Linked DNA regions of Arabidopsis thaliana. The protein of the gene in region 2 purifies or fractionates together with the protein of the main gene of each other region. This does not show direct contact. Each region holds a gene or a part of one and is shown on either strand. Other genes may lie near its edges. The genes, in order: BTF3, PCNA2, CRT1b and AT1G32880.

Region 1 (5,030 bases), on a different chromosome or scaffold from region 2:
TGCTTCAGATAGCTTAGCTTCAAGCTTAGGTGTGACTTCATCAATGGGTTTTCTCAGGTTCCCAATGAAGATTCCTCCATCTCCAAACCGGCGAACATCCGTAGCGAAAAATGTATCGAACCCAAAACAGCTCTTCAACTGTCCCATCATCACAAACCACTTTCAAAAACAATGCATTCCAACAAAACAAAGAAGAATCATAGCATAAGAGAAATGAATTCATTTTTTTACCTTGTTGAGATCAAGAGCCTTGAAAGTCTCTTCTGCTTTCTCAAGCCTTTCTTTCTCTTTAGTCAAACTATCACGAGCCAAGCTGTTGTAAATTCCAATGATCGGATTCTCACTGTTGCTTTCCTTGTTCAGCTCCTTGAGCTTACGATCAGTTCTCGTCTTCTCAAGCTTTATCGCAGCTTCGATAGATGGATTCCCCATAAACTTCTTGAACTCCTCGTCTGTTTTCCAATCCATCTCTTGCTGCTTCGACTTCTTTTCCTCCTCTTCTTCACTGCTCTCTGGAGAAGGCGGCGCATTATTGTTATCGTGGTCTTCTTTTTGCTCCTCCGCTAACGCCACCGGAGAAGGAGCTTCGTTCACAGGTTCACGAACGCGATCATCTTCCGCTGAACATCTCAAAGAATGTCTGCTTCTCGTTGTCTGATTCACAGAAGCTTTCCCAAAGTTCGAAAATTCTGCTCTGTCAAAGCGACGAAGATGCAAACTGTGACAGGATTTAAGAGTTAAGGAAGATGATGGAGTAGAAACAAAGAGAGAAGCCATGGTTTACGAAAACTCAGAAAGATTGAGATTTGACGACGAATAGACATGTCTCTGAGAGAGAATTTGTAGAGAAAGTGATGAAATGTCTGGAAAGTTTGAGAAGAAACTCATACAGTACAGGTGGAATGGTTTTTATGCAACAAGACAATGTGTCACATCAAAATCTTCTAATCCACATAGTGAAGAGGAAGAAGAAGACGAGGACCTGATTTGCTGTCAAAGAATCAATAAGACATCAAATAATTGGATAAAAACCTTAAGTCATTAGATGGAAAACAAGATTCTGGTCGGAAACTACAAAAAGGATCGAGCGAACAAACATATTATAAAGATATGTAAAAATCAAAGTGCGGTTTTTTTTTGGATGTGGTCTCGCTCTTTTCTCTCTAAGAAGAAGCAGCAGCAGCTGGTGCTTTCTCTTCAGCAGCAGTTTCGAATGTCTCTCCAACAAGCTCTGGGACATCGTCATCATCCTCTTCTTGTATGGTTGCTGAGGCGGCATTACCTTCACCAGAAGCCTGTTTCTGGAACTGTTCTGCTAGCTTCTTCAGGTTGTCCATGTTGTCTGGTCCTGAAAGAGATCAAAGTAACATAAAGTTAGAGACCTTAGGATCGATGAAGAACATTTAAGAGCTGTACAGTTACATGGTACACACCAAGTTGGCTGATGATCTGAGGAAGGATATCTTGCAATTCTGCAGGAAGCAACACGTTTACATTAATCAGAGAAGATGAAATGAAGAAGAAACAAGAAAGTAGAGATTAAGAGATATTATGAGATGCAATACTTTTGGTCTGAGGAGAACCGCTAACAACCCATGTGTTTGCAGCAATTGAAGCTTGAACTGTAGTAACATTCAAAGGAGGAACAATGATCAGTAACATGAAAAAAAGGTTCTGATGTATAGATAAAAAATGGTTAAAAATGACTTACCCTTAGGGTTGATGAACTGAATAACAACATCATCCTTAAAGATGTTAACTTCTTCAATAGCGGGAATGGAGTTAACTCCAATTCTCTTAAGAGTGCTTTGAAGCCTCTTGTCATCAGTTGTATTGGTCTTGTGCACAGCCTTCTTCTTTCTGCAAGTAAAAATCGAATGGTTTCATAACACAAATCATAGTAAATGCTAAGTATTGAACAATGAAATTGGTTGAATAAAACTCTATACCTTCTGACAGTACCCTTTCCGCCAGTGCGGACGGTATTAGCCATCTTCATCAACTTCTCCCTATTCATCTGTGTATAAACCATAATAAGAAGCAAAATCCATCAATCCCCAAATCACTTCCAAAAGAATCAATGAACACATTAACTGCTAATAATACATTCACAAAAACTTCTTATTATACAAGAAACTAGTGAGAAGAAAGTAAGCGCGAACAGATTTAAACTCAGATGCGTATGAAGACACGGTGATGTGACTAGTAGTTTTAACCTAAATTTAATCATTTTCAATCGATTAGGTATACCAAATCCCCCAATCAAACACACAGAGAAGTTGAAAACCCAGTAAATTCCCAAACACCGACAAAAACTAATCCTATCTACAGAAAGAAGCGAAATGAATCAAGAAAGAAAGATATCTGACATTTTGCAAAATCGGGGATTAGAGAAACCCTAGAACCGGAGAGATAAAACACTAATAGAAAGGAAAATTACAGTGATAATGAATTTACCTTGAGATTAGGGTTCTTCCTTGTTCGAAGAGTGTGAGGAGATAAGAAAATGAAACAAAAAGAAAAGAAACAGAGAGAGGAGAGACGCGGGCGGCGCAGGGTTTTGCCCTTTAACTATATGCTATTCGGAGCCAACCTCGTCTCTTAATCTAACGGTGGATATCAGATATTCCATAAAGAAATCTCCATCACTACCGTTGGATGCTCGATGATAATATTGGCCCATAAGGCCCAAAACTAAACTGGGCCAATAATTATTTACTGGGCTCTTTTGTGCCGTAATCAATCACCAGTATTAGCGCGTAGCAAACCATAATCTTTTGGTTACCAGAATTTCAAAATCCACAAATTTATCTAAATGAGTTTATCAATGAACAGACTTGTTTAGTTGACTAAAATTTAGAGAAGAAAGCTATTCGATTATTGATAATCTCAACAACAATGGTACATTTATTACAAAGTAAGTTTGCTTAACTTGAACTGTATGAAATCCATGAATACAAAAATTACATAAAAGAGATAGAGAGATCTGTATAGAACCAAAAATCAAACGCATAAACATTCACGTGTAAAGAGAATGAATATTGCTTTGTGTTTTGGACCTTGTTTTTTTTACTGCTTCTTCTGCACAACATTTTCCAAATACCATTCATAAGTTTGGGAGAGGCCATCTTTAAGCGAAATCTTCGGTGTCCATCCCAAAGACGCAAGCTTCGAGCTATCCATCAGTTTCCTTGGTGTCCCGTCTGGTTTTGTGGTATCCCAAACAAGCTTTCCTTTAAACCCAACAACTTCTTTCACCAACTCAGCCAATTCTTTGATCGTCACTTCAACACCACTTCCTACATTCACATGCTCAAATCCGCTGTACTGATCCATCAAGAAAACACAAGCATCAGCCAAATCATCGACATGTAAAAACTCCCTCAACGGGCTTCCACTTCCCCAAACCACAACTTCGTCAGCATTATTGGCTTTGGCTTCATGAAACCTCCTCATGAGAGCAGGCAGCACATGGGAATTCTCCGGGTGGAAATTATCATTCTGACCATACAGATTCGTGGGCATACCGGAGATAGCATCCCACTGATGCTGAAGCCGGTAAGCTTGACACATCTTAATACCCGCGATCTTGGCGATCGCATACCATTCGTTTGTCGGTTCGAGCGGACCGGTAAGAAGCGCAGATTCGGGAATCGGCTGAGGAGCAAATTTGGGGTAAATGCAAGATGAACCAAGGAAGAGGAGTTTCTTCACACCGTGTGTATAAGCAGAGTGGATCACATTGGTCTGGATTTGGAGATTGACCCCAATGAAATCAGCTGGGTATGTGTTGTTAGCATGAATCCCACCGACTTTAGCAGCAGCTAGGATGACATAAACTGGTTTCTCTGTAGCAAAGAAAGATTCAACATCTGATTGGCTAGTGAGATCAAGCTCTGAATGGGTTCGAAGGACCAAATTGGTGAAACCCTGATCCTGGAGCTTGCGGACAATGGCAGATCCAACCAATCCCCTATGTCCAGCGACAAAGATCTTGGCGGATTTCTCTAACATAAACGAACCTGATTTCATCTCTGCACAGAATTACGAGGGATCAAAGACCTAGGGTTCCAAAATTTCCACGAAAATCTAAATTCAATTCCACAAAACTCCGTATATAGACATGAAACATTATATTCAGACATAAAATAGAGAGATGGACGTACCGGATCCTGTGTTGTCCGCCATTGTTTAGTCAATTAGTTCTACAAGACGATGAGCGATTGAGAATGGGGATTTTGACTTATAGATATCAGTTTTCGAAGTCAACGACAGAAGCTTAGATTTGTAGGTAAAGGTTAAATTCCTTGGAGAATGTAATGTGGAGGAGATCTGAATATCCGCCGGCGATCTGAATCGGTGTCGGATATTTTGTTATTCAGTTTATGGATCCTGGCCCATGGGCCTAAATAAAATAGTCACCTCACTCTCCGCCCATTTCGCTTACTTTTCCATCGTTACGTTATTGGCCTATTGCAATTAAACCGGACCAAATTCCGGTTCGCAGCTGTGAGTTACCAAATTAGCTCCATCAGCCAGGTGTCCGTACTCCGTACCATCCATAAGAAGAGTACGGATTCGAATAAAATATAAGCCTAGTGGTTTGGTGAAGACTGTGACAAACCTTTAGAAGACTCAAATAAACAAACATTAGCCTAGTGGAGCATTTTTGCGATAGAAGACGACACATTCTTTTTCATCATCGATGATTGGATGAGATGTGATTTTCAAACACAAGCAAGTAAGTGGTAGTTACAAATTATGCAGTGACCGACGACCGTGGATGCTGAAGTCCAAGGGATAAGGAAATATTATAATGGTCTTAGACCTCTTCGTTACACACAATTAGAAATGAAAAAATCAATTTATGTATAGAAAATGTCGCTCATAGAGACGTTTGGAGAAAGGAATTGGGCAAAGGAAAGAGGAGAACCACTAGGTTACAACTTAAAATAGTACTTAATCGCTACTCAAATATGATGAATATTTTTAAAAGAAATTTTCACATAAGTGTATGAAAAAAAAATTAC
Region 2 (5,049 bases):
CATCTCTGACTTATCTGTGGGTCTCGCAACAGGTGTGATTAAAGCTGGTGCTCCTTGCAGAGGAGAACGTACTATGAAGTATAACCAGGTCTGGATCTTTTTCCAAACTAATATCCTCAGTACCCCTTATGCAATTACACTAGAACAATCTACATTACGTGGAGTAACCTGCATTGGAATTTTGGATCATAGCTCTTTCATCAGATTATCATCAGCTTCTTTTTAGCTTTTAAGTAGCTGAGTTATGTTGTGGTATGTGAATCTTTAGCAACCTAGGCTAAGTTTCAGTTTCTTCAACTTTTGGCTAATGCAGCCTCAGCTTATAGATCCATAATGATTGAGTTTGGAGCAGCCATGTACATTTAGTTGCTAGATAGTGTTCTCATTTCATTGTAGAAACTACTTTATTAAAAAGCTGAATCACTGTTGAAATGTTCCTGCAGTTGCTACGGATAGAGGAAGAGCTTGGGGATCAAGCAGTGTATGCTGGAGAAGATTGGAAGCTATCTCTCTAAACAAAATGCACATGTGATATTAATTGTTACACTTCTCGTCTTACTTCATTGTTCTCGAGTCTATTTCTCACGCAGACAAATTCTTGTGTCTTGAAAGTTCAAATTTTTTGTTGTTTTTGCCAAATTTAAGAACAAACAGAAGTAAAGAGTGTTAAACATGTTTTTTACAAATTGTAAAAGCATCCAAAAACATCAATCAACACTAGTTCGTGAGGTTGCAGAAGCCACAAACAAACGTGTTTTAGGGCTTCGTGTCTTCTTTTTCTTCAATGTTTAACAAACAGATGAAAAGTGTTATAAACAAGCTTTTCCAAATTTCAGAAAGACAAACATCATACGATTATCTAGTTTAGCATTGCCTTAAGATAGTAAATCCAGAAAACAACTGAATCAAGACAGACATTTCAACAAAGGACTCGAACGAAGACTATCAAACATTCATCATTATTCTGGTTTGGTGTCTTCTTCTTCTTCAATCTTAGGCGCCAGATAGTATCGAATGTAACCCATCTCAGCCACCTTGTACTCCACCACGACCGGTAACTCAGAGGACAAACTGATGGTCACAGTTTCCGACAATGGAGTAGCCTTTGTGAAGGAGTTCATGTACCTCAATGCAAATGAAAGCGAAACAGGCTCGTTCATCTCTATCACAATAGCATCTTCAGGCTGCAAAACACACATACAAACATAAGGTCACTTCAACATTGTATTGGACAGATTATTAAACAAATCTCTCTAGATGACTAGTGATTGTTCATACTTTGTCGACGGTAGTATTCTGCCTGAGCACAATGTTTGCTGTCCCGATATCACCTGCTGTTGAAAACTTCACCCCTTCTTTTGTTACCGAGATCACAACTGCAAAATCATAACATCAAAACCAGAATCATGATTAGAGAATCCTCGCAGTGATACACCAAATAAACAAACAGTTCATTTACCTGTGTCACCAATGCTACTGAGATCTTTGCATATCCTGGAAAATTCACCAGAAGGCATTCTCACAATCGAGTGGTACTCAGCATCAGGAATTCCTAAATGCTCACTGTCGATATCCATCAGCTTCATCTCAAAATCTGCAATCTTGTCTTGTGCTGCATCATCAACACCATTTAAATAATGAGATTAACACCACATAGTCAATATCAAACAAAGTTCCTCTGTTAACTTTCACTAAATCAAGAAACTCTATTCACTTTCAAACTATAGTCTTTAAGCTAGAGACTATACCTATTCTGAAAACAAAAATGGAAGGACTCATTCTCATCAAGCAAGTTCTAGTTTCTGTCAAATGAAACCTATAAATAACAGTTCAGATCACTAATAACATCATTAACTACACAAAAACAAAGCCATATCAAACCTTATTCCAAACCAAAAACCCTCTATTAACATAGATTTTATCTTCTCTTTCATCTCTTACAAACTAAAGCTTTCAAGAAATGGACTGAATCATTCTCTACAATCATATTCTAGCTTCTGGCAAATCAAACCTATAAACACAGAATCAGGTCACCAATAGCATCAACATTGACAACAAAACCAAAGCCCTAACAAACAAAAATCGATTTGAAGAACTTACTGGGACTCTCAAACATGAAAGTAACAGTGTCGCTACCATCATCAGCTTTGATGGTGATGATATCATCATTTCCAGCACATTTCAGCATCTTAGACATATTACCAAGATTCATTCCCATAGAGAGGTTCCTATCGCATCTATAGTGCTCGAAACCTTCAGATCTAAGCAAAAGAGACACCAACGCGACATGGCTCGAATCCATAGCTTGAAGCGAGAACCCTGTGGTCGAACAGTCGAAGTTCGCATCGTTCACCAGATCTTTGACCGCTTCTAGAACCTTCTTCAGTAGAGAACCTTGAACTAAACGAAGCTCCAACATCTTCTGGGAAATTATCGAAAGGTTAGAGTGTGAATCGAAACGGTTAGGGTTTTTAGAGCTGTTGAAATTTCTGGGAGGAGATTGCAATTGTTAGCGGGAAGTGATATTATAAGCTGAGATTTTGTGGCGCCATTTAGCGATTTTAGGGTATTTTTGTTCCCGCCTGTGTGTGACGATGAATTATCATCTGTGTGAGTCCGTATTGTTTATTTCAGTACACCACCATCACTTTAAGCTTTCTTATTTCATGGGTTTAAATTGGGCCAAACAAACATTCGGCCCAACAGCAGCTGTAATATTAAAGATTCCCGAAAAAATCGAAACGAGAGCAAATCTGCTCTTCAAGGTAATCTTCGTGTTCGAGACTGAAGAAGAAATCCAGAAATCATTGAGGAAGGAAGAGAATTAGGAAATGGCGCATAGAATACTGAGAGATCACGAGGCTGATGGATGGGAACGTTCTGATTTCCCAATCATCTGTGAGTCTTGTCTCGGTGACAATCCTTACGTGAGAATGGTATATTCTTCGCTTCCTATGTTTCTCCTCAAACAAATTCGATTTCCTTGCCTTTAGCTAGATTTTTTTTTAACATTCATGTGTCTTTATTAAGATCTCCTTTCATTTGTCCATTTTCGAGCTTGTTTAATGCTTTTATGTTTCTTAGTGTTGAAGCTGCAATTTTAGTGATTTGAGATTTTAGGGTTTAAGCGATTTAATATACAATTCATAACCTTTGGTAAAAATCAGAATTCATGGAGTTGTAGTTCAAAATGATATCTTTGGTTTGTTCTGATCAAATTTGCTTAGAGGGAATGTAATTCATTGAATACTGTCTCATGTTATGTCTGGTAGTGATGTGCAGCTTCATGTTTGATTGATTGATTGATTTATTGTTGTTGTTTGGTATGTAGACAAAGGCGAATTACGATAAAGAGTGTAAGATCTGTACCCGGCCTTTCACGGTTTTCAGATGGCGACCTGGTAGGGATGCGAGATACAAGAAGACTGAAGTTTGTCAGACATGTTGCAAGTTGAAGAATGTGTGCCAAGTTTGTCTCTTGGATCTTGAGTATGGTCTTCCAGTTCAGGTCAGAGACACGGCGCTCAACATTAGTACTCATGATTCTATCCCAAAAAGTGATGTGAACCGAGAGTTTTTCGCTGAAGAGCATGATCGAAAGGTATGGTGACTCTGCGTTCTAACTAGTTATATTATTTGAGTATTGATTGGTTTGAGATTTGGCTATACAGTTTCTCTACTTTGTAATGGCCTATTGAAATGGTTTTGTTTTCTTGTGTAGACGAGAGCTGGACTAGATTATGAGTCTTCTTTTGGGAAGATTCGGCCCAACGATACCATTCGTATGCTTCAAAGGACAACGCCTTACTACAAAAGGAACCGAGCTCATATTTGTAGTTTCTTCATTAGGGGAGAGTGTACAAGAGGTGATGAGTGTCCATACCGTCATGAGATGCCTGAAACAGGAGAGTTATCCCAGCAGAACATTAAAGACCGTTATTATGGGTAAGCATACTTCTAACTTTCATTTTGTTTGAGTATGATAATATTGAGTTACTCCTCAATTTCTTGCTTTGGTATATCATGAAAGAGAGTTATGAAAAATACATCAGTTTGTGTGCGTAAACTGGCTGTTATTTTGGTGATATTGGAACTGTTTTCTCATCTTATTCTTCACTTCCTGCAGTGTAAACGATCCAGTTGCGTTGAAGTTACTTGGCAAGGCTGGGGAGATGGGTACTTTGGAATCTCCAGAGGATCAAAGCATCAGAACGCTTTATGTTGGTGGGCTAAACTCGAGAGTCCTTGAGCAAGACATTCGTGATCAATTCTACGCCCATGGAGAAATCGAATCCATCAGAATCTTGGCTGAGAAAGCATGTGCGTTTGTCACTTACACAACCCGAGAAGGAGCAGAGAAAGCTGCAGAAGAGCTCAGTAACAGGCTAGTTGTCAACGGTCAGAGGCTAAAACTCACATGGGGAAGACCTCAGGTTCCCAAACCTGATCAAGATGGTTCTAACCAACAGGGCAGTGTGGCTCATAGTGGTTTACTACCTCGAGCAGTTATATCTCAGCAACAGAATCAACCTCCACCAATGCTACAATACTATATGCACCCACCACCACCACAACCTCCTCATCAAGACAGACCATTTTACCCATCAATGGACCCTCAGAGAATGGGTGCAGTTAGTTCGTCCAAAGAAAGCGGTTCAAGCACCAGTGACAACAGAGGAGCTTCTTCTTCTTCTTACACTATGCCACCACATGGCCACTATCCTCAGCACCAGCCATACCCGCCACCATCATATGGAGGATATATGCAACCACCTTACCAGCAGTATCCTCCTTACCACCATGGCCATTCACAACAAGCTGATCATGATTACCCACAACAACCAGGTCCCGGTTCAAGGCCTAATCCTCCACATCCAAGTTCAGTCTCTGCTCCACCACCTGACTCTGTGTCTGCAGCACCTTCAGGATCCTCTCAGCAATCTGCTGATGCTGCTGTTACTACTGGTTCGTCTCAATAGGAACCGTTGTCAGTTAAAATGTAGTGCGAATTTCCGGCCATATCTACATTTTGACTTTTTGCTTCTGCTA
Region 3 (7,455 bases), on a different chromosome or scaffold from region 2:
TTTGTGAGACTATAATGAGTTGTGAACTAGCACAAATTAACCAAACAATTAGTGATTAATAAAGTCAACTAAAAAGTCAATACTTTGATAGAACAAAAGATAATTGCTTGGAATTAATATTATAACCCTTGGATTTAACTTGAAATTTTACAATCTTATGGTTCTAATCAAAACACAAGAGTAACCAGAATACTTAGATCTAAGCTCGTTCTCCTCTGATTCTTCTCGCGAGCTGGATGTCCTTGGGCATGATCGTGACCCTCTTGGCGTGAATGGCGCAGAGATTGGTGTCTTCGAAGAGTCCGACGAGGTAAGCTTCAGCAGCTTCCTGAAGAGCGGCGACGGCACTGCTCTGGAAACGAAGATCGGTTTTGAAGTCCTGAGCGATCTCTCTGACAAGCCTCTGGAAAGGGAGTTTACGGATAAGAAGCTCAGTGCTCTTCTGGTACTTCCTGATTTCTCTTAAAGCAACAGTTCCGGGTCTGAATCTGTGTGGCTTCTTCACTCCTCCGGTGGCCGGAGCAGATTTCCTCGCCGCTTTTGTCGCCAGCTGCTTCCTTGGAGCCTTTCCTCCGGTTGATTTCCTAGCCGTCTGCTTGGTACGAGCCATGAAGTAAAATGTTATTAAGAAACTGTTTGATTTTAATTTGAAGATGAGAGAAAGTTGAGATCTGGATAGTTTGTTTCGATTGAGGAAGGGGATATTTATCGTCTGGAAATTACAAGAAGTGGGAGGGAAAATATTTCGCTTTTCTTTTTCAGCGGGATTAGATCTGGATCGTTCATTGGTTTTTAATCAACGGATATAAGAGGTTTCTATCACGATCCGCGTGAAATCACAGCAACCGTAGATTAATACAATTCTACGGACAGATTTCATTCTTTTCTAACACTGATCCGCGTGAAGGTACGAAGACCAATAGAAATAAAAGAAATAATCTAAATATATTATCTTTACCAAAAAACCAAGCCCATTACTTAATAGGGCCTGCGTAATTGTTTTTCTTTTTTTGGTTCTCAATCAGCTTTTTCTGGGCTTAAATACCATCTCAATATGCTAGGACGCTGTTTTGTATAAAGATTGTGACTTCATCTTTTGAGAATGACATCATGAATTAAAATATTGCTGTCTAAGGTTAAGGTAAAACAAAGATTGCACTGCATTCGTTCTCTAGCGTTCTAAGCATCTGTGGTTGGGGTACAATTATCTCTATATAATTTTTGTTATCTCAACATCTGTCTTCACAATGGAAGTGAACCCAGTATAAGTGTATAGACAATGTGGAAATTGTTTGGAAAGTGAAAGACATTCTACATTACTACTACTCTAGTATCAATCAACTTGCAGGGACGTTGGACTGTTGGATTATGGACTTGGTGGTCTGTATTGACTGACAAGAGACTAACAACAAATTCTCAAAGGGTGGGGAGCAGTGAACGAATACACCAGAATCCGATTTTGGCGGACATTGGCTTAGCAGAGAAACAAGAGTAGAGAAAGAGAAGCAACTGCAAAACTTCTTCATGGTTTTTTAAAGTCTAAAATGAGCATCTGACAGACATTGTATCCCCCTTTTAGTTTTGCTAAAACTTGTTTCTATCTCCGACAAACTAGATGCTAAAATACTTCAAAAGAAAACGATAAAACAATAAAGAGACTGAAAACTTTGGTCTTCAAATCTTCAACCTTTCACCTATAGCTCATCCTGCAAAACCAAATCACGCAGTTTTAACCACAACTCAAGGAAAACAACAAAATTATGGATGAGTGAAATTTCTCCAAGTGATATTGTGGTAGCATACATGAGCGGTGGCGTCTTTCTCAGAGGTTTCCTCGCTATCTACTGATTTGGTCTCCTCGGCCTTAGATTCAGAATCGGAATCATCTCCTCCTTCATCATCCTCTGGTTCGTCTTCAGCCTGGAATTTATATCACATATAATATTAGGACCTTGACAGAAACAAACAAGACTCTAAAAAATTTGATCCTTCACAAGTGCTTACATCAGATTCCGCAGGTGCGTCCTTGGATTCCTGTATCAACACAGAAAAAGGAGAATGCCGTCTTAGATTATCTATTCCCAACTTGGTTACAACAATTACATAATTGGCAGTAGAAACTCCACAAAAGTCCAAACTACTTGTTTTAGAGAGATTCAAATGAATTAAGCTAAATAATTAGGAGAGATATTTACCTCTTCCTCATTCTTCTTCTCAGCCTCATCGAAAGCTGCTTTCTCCGCCTGCAATGTGATATTAGATTGGATATTCTGATCAGTAACCAGAAACAAAAAAAAAAAAACTGTGTTATGAAATTGGGTATTTTAAACACCTACATCCTTGAGCTTTCCCCATGTTTCATCTGCCAACTTCTTGGCATAGTCTGGGTCATCGCAGATCAAGACATTGTCGAACAATGATCCTGATTTCACCTGGAAGAGTAACATGTATTAGATGAGAGTCATGGGAATAAAGCATATCTTCGAAGGTCATTCAAAGTGACAAAGATTTATTTACCTGCCACAATTCGAGTCCAACATATTTCAGCTTGGGGAAGACGTAGAGCTCTGGGTCATCCTTGAAGTCTGCGGTAATCAGTTTATTTTAGGCACACTAATTGTTTATTATTATGTCTAAGAGAGCTAAATTTTCATGTAAGTTAATGCAAGCATAAAAAACAAAAAGTTGCGAGTTCTACAGTTACATCCAAATGAACATGATATAAAAGTGTAAATAAAGGTGAACAAAAGATATAGATTACTAAATGTGTCAAACTGGTGTGACCATGGATTTAATGATAGAGAAGATAAAAGAAAAACCAGGTTAGTTACAAACATGTTTCTATTTAATAGGTTAAACCACTAAACATAGAGACGCCAATAAACCTTTTGGAAGTAAAGGATTACTTCAGCATTTGAGTTTAAATGAACCCTTAGGCCTTAGACTTAGATAGTCCTTCTACTTAGTCAAGAGAAATCTAACTGGAGAAGATTTAGGCATACCAGAAACGACCATCAAACAACAAAGAACAGAAGTTGAACCACAAATTACATGCAACATGGATAATATGGCCACAGAGAGTAGTAATGTACCAGGGTTGTCAATCAATGGAGCCTCCCACTTGCCCTTGTAGTTGGGGTTCTTGATTTGCTACAAAAATATTTGACAGCCTTGAGAGGAAGAAAAACGTTGACCAGGATATAGATACTTTTTGGAATAGAAATTGACAAACCTTAGGCTTCCATTCACCCATGTACTCAGGGTTGGGGATTGTTGGGGCAGTCCACTCACCATCTTCTTCATCATCCCAGTCCTCAGGCTAAGAGAAAGGACAACGAAAAATCAGCAAATACGGAACACAGCAAGAGATTTTAGATTTTACATCAATTATAGACAAGTATGAACCTTCTTTGAGTCGGTGTCTGGGATCTCCTTAGGGATATCATCGTAACCGTCAGGTTTCTTGTCTTCAGGGTCAGAAATGTATTCTTGTTCGTCCCAGTCCTCAGGCTGTACAAATAAATAAAAGGATCAATTTGTATGATGGATGGTATCTCAGGTATAATCAACCAAGTTCATCAGAGAGCTTTGGTATGGTTTGTGGTTAGTTCTAGTTTGCTCCAAAATTGAGTATAAGTGGTTGGTTCTCAGTTTAGCCTGGTTGTTCATAAGAAATAGAATACCTTCTTGGCGCTGGGGTCCTTGATCTTCTTGGGTGGGAGAAGATCCCAGTCAGAGTAAAGGCTACCAGTTTGTTTCTCAACATTGTCGATGAGAATGCTGTAAGTAGCATCTGGGCGGAGGATAAATGTGTACACATGGGTGAGCTGGTCAGTTTCACATGGAACATCTTTCTTGATCAGGTGGTTGGCTTCATTATAGGTAAGGATAGCATGCACTTTCTTTGTGCTGTAGCCACAGATATCAGGACCAAACATGATACTGCAGGTAAAAAAGCAGATGGGTTGTTATTTTTAAACATTGATGTTAATTGATAATAGGTTGAGATGATAAGAGTGAGATGAGATAGGATTTGTACCTGTATGGTGTGTCTCCACCAAATTTCTTTTGGTCAACATCACCACTTAGTAGCTTCATGTAGCCACCACCGCAGTCAAGCTTTTGCTCGTGCTTGACTGAGAATTGGAAGACTAAGGTCTTGTCCTTGTTACTGAATTCAGGGAACTCAGCTGAAATGGCGTAGAATCTGTAGTCTTCACTGGTCTGGATACCTGCCAGACAATGGCAATTGCAACAACGCATTAGCACAAGCTTGTAAAACAATAAATAATGATTCTGTGATTAGCTCTGAAGGCTGAATCATACCTTTATCGTTAGCGTCACCAGACCAATTTCCCGCAGTGTGCTTCCACTCCCCAGCAGTGTTATCATCCTTCTTCCACTCAGATTTAACCCATCTGTTCTCCCAGCCATCTTTAGAAATGGAAATAACAAAGATAACAAATCAAGACAGACATCAGACAAGAAGAATCACAAGATTATATACTAAGTTAAGAACAACAAGACAATCCAACACAAGAAACACGAATTGAACAAACCATATAATATTTTTTAGTATTTCAAATCAGAAAAGTCGACTAAACAAACTCAAGAGCGGGCTTCACTGAACATATTCATCATTGAAATTAGTAAACTAGTGTCGAACCAGAAAGGAATCATATGCTAACTATCATCTCAGAATTTTCATCATCGTTAAAAACTTGATCTCCCAAACATCTACACGAAAAGTATTAATCACCAAAAGTTGGAGGTCATTTCCTGGGATCTCCAATTATAATTTAGAAATCAAAAACCCCAGACAAACCAAAATCAACAAATTCATAGATCCATAATAATCCTGATCCAACATTTGAGAACAAACTATCAGATGAAAACGAGGATATCGTAGCATGGATCTTAAACTCGTAGCATAAATCACATTAAAACTCAAATTGAAGAAATAGATCGCAAGCCAGAACACAAACAGACGCATCATCAGGAAGATAGAGTATAGAGATAGAGATGTAGAAATTAGATACCATCAAAGCGCTCCTCGAAAATAACTGCGGCGGAGGCGATCGCAACAAGACCGATAAGAATTAGAGAGACGAGGCTAGGAATCATTTTCGCCATTGCTAAAAAAAACTCAGATCGGAGCTTCCCCGAGATCAGATGATGAAGATGTACAAGACCTGGAGCTTATATATACCGCGAGGAGAGGAGCTAGCAAGTGAGCTTTGCTCTCATGGATTTTATTTTAGGCTACGTCGTGTAAATCTGCAGCCACGTAATCCAATAGGTAACCGACACGTCAGATACATTTGTCATTGAGAATGACATGTCGTTATAGTATTGGATAAAACGGGAGAAAGAAGGCTGTGCATAATTAGCCTTAAGCAAAAGATTTGACACGTGTAAAGATATTAGCGGTTGGTGCGGTGATATAAACAAAAAACAAGTGTGCTTCTCGTGGAGAGTAGAGTAAACAAAAGAAGCAGATCTCTCGGGTGTTTTAGTAAATATATAGCTTGGTTTGTTGGATTAAACGTGATCTCAGCCGTTAGATTCCAACTGAATTTTTAAATCTACAAAAATTCTAAAAGCGTGGGCCGAGAGGAAGATTGATGTGTGTATTTTGGGCCGATAAAATTTTAAATTATAAATCTTTTTGTGTTGATGGTTTTTTTGTGTGAAGAAGATTAGCGTAAAAGCTACTCAAAATCTGACTTGGATTCAAATTTGATAATGACACCCATTGAAGCAAAGTTTTTTCAAAAAATGAACTATTTTTATGCATGTTCTTGTTACTCATTGATCCATTTAGTCTTTTTTAATCTCTTTGAATGATTTGAGCTCCATTGTATTTTACACATCTTTGTCACTGTAATCTCAGCTAACTGAGACTTCATTAGAGAGCTCACCAAACTTTAGGAGTTTATGATCAAAACTCATTGAAGATTGGGAGTTTAGGATTTAGGGTTTAGGAAAAGGGGATGCAAGAAACAGATCATCCTCACAGATTCGGTGCTGACCCATCTTCAGGAGAATCCAAGCGCAGCACAGAAACACATGCAACCCCCAGTGGTCTATGAACAAGATTTCATAAGCTTGGGTCTTCAGAAGAGGAATCATCAAAAACCCTTGTTGCAGATTCTCATCGCTTTTTCTTTTATTATCTATCAAACTTGCACCCAGCAATGCTCTCATGTTTTCCTTTTTTCTTGTGAAGTTATTATGACAATGAATTATGAACTTGGTCTTCTTGATTAGGTTTGCGTTTCTTTATAATCCAATAAAACCATTCAGAATAGAAAACACCTTTTGGGAGTTTATGATCAAAACATTGAGGATCAGAACAGAGCTCCCAAAAATTCTGAAGTTTATCATCAAAACAATAAAGATTGGAGTCATAAATATATACATGCTCCGCTATGTTACTTGTGAATGTCCTGGAAGTTTAGCTACTCCTCTAACATCCATCTGTTTCCGAAATCTCTGCGCATCTAAAAATCTTCCAGTACCACAAAAGATGTTGGACATAAGCACATAGTCTCCTCCATGGCTTCTCTCTAGCTCCATTAGCTTTCTAGTAACCCTCTCAGCCAATTCAGCATCATCATAAACGCTACAAGCTCCAAGCAGCATTCTCCAAACCACAGCTTTTTCTTCTATTGGAATCTCCAAAGCAATCTTCTCTGCTTCTTCTAATCTTCCTTTTCTTCTCAACATATCTACTAGACATCCATAGTGCTTCACATCCGGCGTGATCTTGTACTCGTTTACCATCGTGTTGAAAAACTCTAGAAACTCTTCTTCTGCTAAACCTCCATGGCTGCAAGCGTTCAAAACACTGATCATGGTCACTCTGTTCGGCTTCAATCCTAATCTTTCCATGTCTTTAAACATACTGACCGCTTCTTTTCCCATTCCGTGAATTGCAAACGCCGAGATCATCGTTGTCCACGATACAAGATTCTTCCTTCCGTTTGGAATCTCTATGAAAAACTTGAACGCGCTTTGAATACACCCACATTTTGCATAAGCGTCGATGAGAGAGTTAGTCACACGGATATCACATGGAACAAACCCTCTTTTCCCAACATAAGCATGAACTGATCCGCACATCTTTAAGTCTCCCAAGTTCCAAACAGCTGGGAGAATGGCGAGAATGGTTATCTCGTTGGGCTTTATTGCGTCGCAAGCAACCATTCTTGAAAACAAGAGTATAGCTTCCTTGGGTTTATCTACTCGTGCATACCCATCAATGATAGTGGTCCAAGACACTACCGTCCGATTCGGCATCTTCTCCAAAAAGCAAAGAGCTTTTTCGAAATCTCCCAAATTAGTAAGGCCAGTGATCATCACATTCCAAGTTACCGGATTTCTCTCAGGCATTTCATCAAACACTTTGTGAGCATCAATCATGTTTCCACCAACAAGATACATACCAACCAA
Region 4 (3,880 bases), on a different chromosome or scaffold from region 2:
TAACTGGAACGAGGATGGTTCTGGTCTCCTGAATGATGATGATTTCGTTGGTGCTGATTCATATTTCCTTGATTTGGGAGTGACAAATCCTCAGTTAGATTTTGTTAGTGGTGATTTGAAAAATGGGTTTGCACAAAGTCTTCAGGTGAATACTTCTTTAATGACTTACCAGGCCAATAATAACCAGTTCCAGCAGCAATCAGGGAAGAACCAAGCTAGTAACTGGCCACTCCGTAACAGCTATACCAGACAGATAAACAATGGATCATCGTGGGTGCAGGAGCTAAACAATGACGGACTTACCGTTACCCGGTTTGGTGAGGCGCCTGGTACAGGTACTTGAAAGCACTAACAGATTTTCCTGTAGATACCTCTTTTCACTCGCATACTAAATATTCTATCTAATTGTGAGGAAAGCGACTGGCTTCTTATCCTAATCATATTCCCTTGACAGGTGATTCATCTGAATTCCTAAACCCTGTTCCTTCTGGTATAAGTACAACTAATGAAGATGACCCGTCAAAAGACGAGTCTAGTAAGTTTGCTTCTAGTGTATGGACTTTCCTGGAATCCATTCCTGCAAAGCCAGCATATGCATCAGAGAATCCATTTGTGAAGCTGAACCTTGTTAGAATGTCAACCAGTGGTGGTCGTTTCAGGTTTACTTCTAAAAGCACAGGTAATAATGTTGTTGTTATGGATAGTGACTCAGCAGTGAAGAGGAACAAGTCTGGAGGAAACAACGATAAGAAGAAGAAGAAGAACAAAGGTTTCTTTTGCTTATCGATCATTGGGGCTTTATGTGCTTTGTTTTGGGTGATCATAGGAACAATGGGAGGTTCAGGGAGGCCTTTGTTATGGTGAGAACCGAAAAATCCAAGAGGTTAAGAGACATAAAGGCTTGGTTTTGTGTGAACCATTAGAGAGTCAAGTCATTGTAATTATTCTCTTGGATTATTAGATTCAGAAGCTGTTTAGTATCACAGTTTATGCTTGGAAGTTTTCTCTGGTATTGTTAAAAAAGTACCAATAGAAATAAGCAAAAGAATTTTCTTATCTTTTAGGATATTTGAACAAATGATGTTACTTAACTAGATTATTAACTTGGAGGTTGTTGTATATCCTCATCATCCTCTTCAAGCCAGTAAGTCTGCAGAATCTTCAAAGCCTTGTCGTAGATCTCGATGTTTTCGTGTCTTTGCAGGTTCAAAATCTTATCTAGCCCTTCCGCTTCGATCAGTCGAGTATACCAGCTCACGTCGTCTCCTGCGTTCTTTTCAGCCTCTCCAACCTTCAATGTGTTTTCCATTCCATCCAGACACTTTAAGATGGTTTTTACATCTGGACAAAACAGGATATCACATAAAGGTTTGATGCAGCTCTGCTCCACCATGTATCTGAATCACACCAATAAATGGAGATTGTGACTTTGATGATCATCTATAAGCATGTTAAGTTGAAAGTGCAAAAAGAAAGAAATAAGACAGGGACGTACTTGATTTGATCATGAGAACCAAGTAAGGTCGCATTTGAAATTGCGCATACAGATTCTTTCTTCATGTCAAATTCAGCATTCTGAGTCAGTTTGACCAAGGTTGGAATCAAATTTGCATCGATTACTGACTGTTATCACCAGGGGAAAACAGTTTAGTTTAGTGAGATAGCAAATAGACAAATTGTTTTATGTTGTGCACCTGAATCATTGTATATATATCAGAATCAAAGATTACACTGATCATCAATAAAAACATCAACTTGATGGGGGAAATTTTTCTTCTAACTTGAAGCTTAGGGAAACTTTCATCGAGAAGAAACTGAATGAGACGATGTACAGCTCCAGATCGTATCACTGTTTCGATAGGACCACGCATATCTTCTGCACATGTAATATAAGAAACATTACGCATATCTTCTGCACATGTAATATAAGAAACATTCGAGTGAATGAAGAATCTTTCAAATCGATCAAGAAAAAGAGTAAAAGAGAGATTTGATTTACTCTTCTTTTTTTTTTGAAAAAATGTTAAATTATATTCAAAAAAAAACAAAACGTTTTTACAACTCGTGCAACGTTTAGCAAAATGAGAAAAGCTGAGAAAAAAAATAGTTAGAAATTAAAGGTGTTTAGAGAATGTTTAGAGTGAGCTGTACGTTGCCCTTGTCATATCTTCGATCACCTGCTTATCTATCCAAGTTATCAAGTGTGACGTGGTGTTCGGTGTTTCTCCATGACGACGCCCATTCCTCTCTCTCCAAACTGTGTGTATTGTAGCTTGAAAGACATACCGGATTAAGAAACCATCGACTCGCTGTAATGACTTGTCTGAAACATAGGCCAGAATTTGTGGCCATTCCTTTGTGAATCTGGTCTTCCATAGCTTCTTAGCTACGTCACCCCAAATTGTCGAGACATAGTTGCAGGAGAAAAACAAATGATCACGAGTTTCCATAGTGTTAGTACAAAACACACAGAGACCCGATTCTCCTCTGTTCCATTTAACCATATGCTCCCCTGTTGAGAGCCTATCTTGGACCGCGAGCCAAGTACAAAACGAAAACTTTGGTGTGGCGTGATTGAACCAACCCCCGTTGTACCAGGGGACTGTGGGAGAAGGAGCTCTGATATGGTGCCACGTTTCTTTGGTAGAGAATGATGCATTGTACACATTATTTCGCCTTGTCTCTGTACTTTAGTATTTTTCTCCAAATCCAAGAGCCTGCATTTGTATTCTGCTTCAATGTCCAAAAATGCTTCCTCCTAAGAAGGTATGTGGTGACCCATTGAACCCATAAAGACTTGCTATTAGAAATGATTCGCCAGACCAACTTTAAACAACAAACATCATTAGCTTTTGTCAAGCTTCGCAAACCCAAACCCCCCTCTATTTTCGGCTTACAAACTTTTTCCCACGATATCTTTGCCTTCTTTGAACTCAGTTCTAAACCCGACCATAGGTAAGCGGAGCAAATCTTGTCAATCTCTCGGATACACTGTCTCGGTAAACGAAAAGCGCCTAGCCAGAAATTGCAAATACTCCAGAGGATAGATTGAATCAAGTTGAGCTACCTGCATATGAGAGGTAGCGTGAAGTCCACGACGCGATGCGTTTCCTAATCTGCTCAAGAAGAGGATCATAATCCTCAGCCATGAGTCTCTTAGTAACAAGAGGCAAACCTAAGTATCGAACTGGCAATTGACCTATATCAAAAGGGAAAAGAGCTGCAATCTCTGCTTTCACTAAAGGTGATACTCCTGCCATATACATTGTCGACTTCTCCATACTTATTTTTAACCCAGAGTACTTATAAAACTCATCAAAAACCTTCACTATACCCTATATGGATCTAACCTTACCATCCGTTAGAACCATCAAATCATCTGCAAAACTTAGATGAGTGAGCTTTAAACGTTGACAATGAGGATGGAAACCAAACTTGTGAGCTCCGGCAGCCTTATCCAACATCTTTGAGAGGACATCCATGCTTATGACAAACAGATATGGCGAGAGAGAGCAACCCTGACGTAAACCCCTTGCACTTTGGAAATAACCAGCGAGATCGCCATTTACTTGGACTGAAAAAGAGGCCGTAGTAATACACAGTTTTAACCAATGTATAAAAACCGCAGGAAAATTCATAGCCAATAAAACATTCAGCAGAAAAGCCAATTGGACCGAGTCAAACGCCTTCGAGATATCTATTTTAATAGCACAACGGGTAGAGACTTAATCTTTATAATAGTCCTTGACTAGTTCCGTAGCAAGTAACAGATTTTCGATGAGTAATCTGTCTTTTACAAACGCCGACTGATTTCCCGCAACAAACTCTGGCAGAAGCACTTTCAATCTGTTAGCAATGATCTTAGAAATTACCTTATAGA

What was found.
Region 1: the proteins of PCNA2 (region 2) and BTF3 fractionate together in Arabidopsis thaliana (co-fractionation; one large-scale study listed by BioGRID). This does not show direct contact.
Region 3: the proteins of PCNA2 (region 2) and CRT1b fractionate together in Arabidopsis thaliana (co-fractionation; one large-scale study listed by BioGRID). This does not show direct contact.
Region 4: the proteins of PCNA2 (region 2) and AT1G32880 fractionate together in Arabidopsis thaliana (co-fractionation; one large-scale study listed by BioGRID). This does not show direct contact.

Annotation. Positions count from the first base shown.
Region 1 is NC_003070.9:6,151,409-6,156,438, forward strand, and holds BTF3 (basic transcription factor 3), read right to left. Parts: upstream 2,575-5,030; 5' UTR 2,458-2,574; intron 2,018-2,457; coding exon 1,950-2,017; intron 1,861-1,949; coding exon 1,712-1,860; intron 1,623-1,711; coding exon 1,566-1,622; intron 1,473-1,565; coding exon 1,434-1,472; intron 1,349-1,433; coding exon 1,164-1,348; 3' UTR 976-1,163; downstream 1-975. Other genes in the region: EGY3 (ethylene-dependent gravitropism-deficient and yellow-green-like 3), read right to left, coding at 1-138, 232-777; GER2 (NAD(P)-binding Rossmann-fold superfamily protein), read right to left, coding at 3,070-4,034, 4,167-4,188.
Region 2 is NC_003071.7:12,649,180-12,654,228, forward strand, and holds PCNA2 (proliferating cell nuclear antigen 2), read right to left. Parts: upstream 2,575-5,049; 5' UTR 2,420-2,574; coding exon 2,101-2,419; intron 1,613-2,100; coding exon 1,460-1,612; intron 1,377-1,459; coding exon 1,279-1,376; intron 1,185-1,278; coding exon 960-1,184; 3' UTR 727-959; downstream 1-726. Other genes in the region: ENOC (cytosolic enolase), read left to right, coding at 1-88, 444-515; MAC5B (CCCH-type zinc fingerfamily protein with RNA-binding domain-containing protein), read left to right, coding at 2,832-2,936, 3,332-3,601, 3,722-3,945, 4,127-4,979. UniProt on the Arabidopsis thaliana protein: This protein is an auxiliary protein of DNA polymerase delta and is involved in the control of eukaryotic DNA replication by increasing the polymerase's processibility during elongation of the leading strand. May be involved in UV resistance.
Region 3 is NC_003070.9:2,971,523-2,978,977, forward strand, and holds CRT1b (calreticulin 1b), read right to left. Parts: upstream 5,481-7,455; 5' UTR 5,134-5,480; coding exon 5,040-5,133; intron 4,435-5,039; coding exon 4,327-4,434; intron 4,233-4,326; coding exon 4,040-4,232; intron 3,943-4,039; coding exon 3,684-3,942; intron 3,511-3,683; coding exon 3,406-3,510; intron 3,320-3,405; coding exon 3,233-3,319; intron 3,151-3,232; coding exon 3,093-3,150; intron 2,586-3,092; coding exon 2,518-2,585; intron 2,433-2,517; coding exon 2,337-2,432; intron 2,244-2,336; coding exon 2,196-2,243; intron 2,035-2,195; coding exon 2,005-2,034; intron 1,921-2,004; coding exon 1,804-1,920; intron 1,707-1,803; coding exon 1,695-1,706; 3' UTR 1,116-1,694; downstream 1-1,115. Other genes in the region: AT1G09200 (Histone superfamily protein), read right to left, coding at 200-610; AT1G09220 (Pentatricopeptide repeat (PPR) superfamily protein), read right to left, coding at 6,430-7,455. UniProt on the Arabidopsis thaliana protein: Molecular calcium-binding chaperone promoting folding, oligomeric assembly and quality control in the ER via the calreticulin/calnexin cycle.
Region 4 is NC_003070.9:11,912,829-11,916,708, forward strand, and holds AT1G32880 (ARM repeat superfamily protein), read right to left. Parts: upstream 1,908-3,880; coding exon 1,782-1,907; intron 1,624-1,781; coding exon 1,496-1,623; intron 1,398-1,495; coding exon 1,100-1,397; downstream 1-1,099. Other genes in the region: NAC13 (NAC domain protein 13), read left to right, coding at 1-335, 455-864.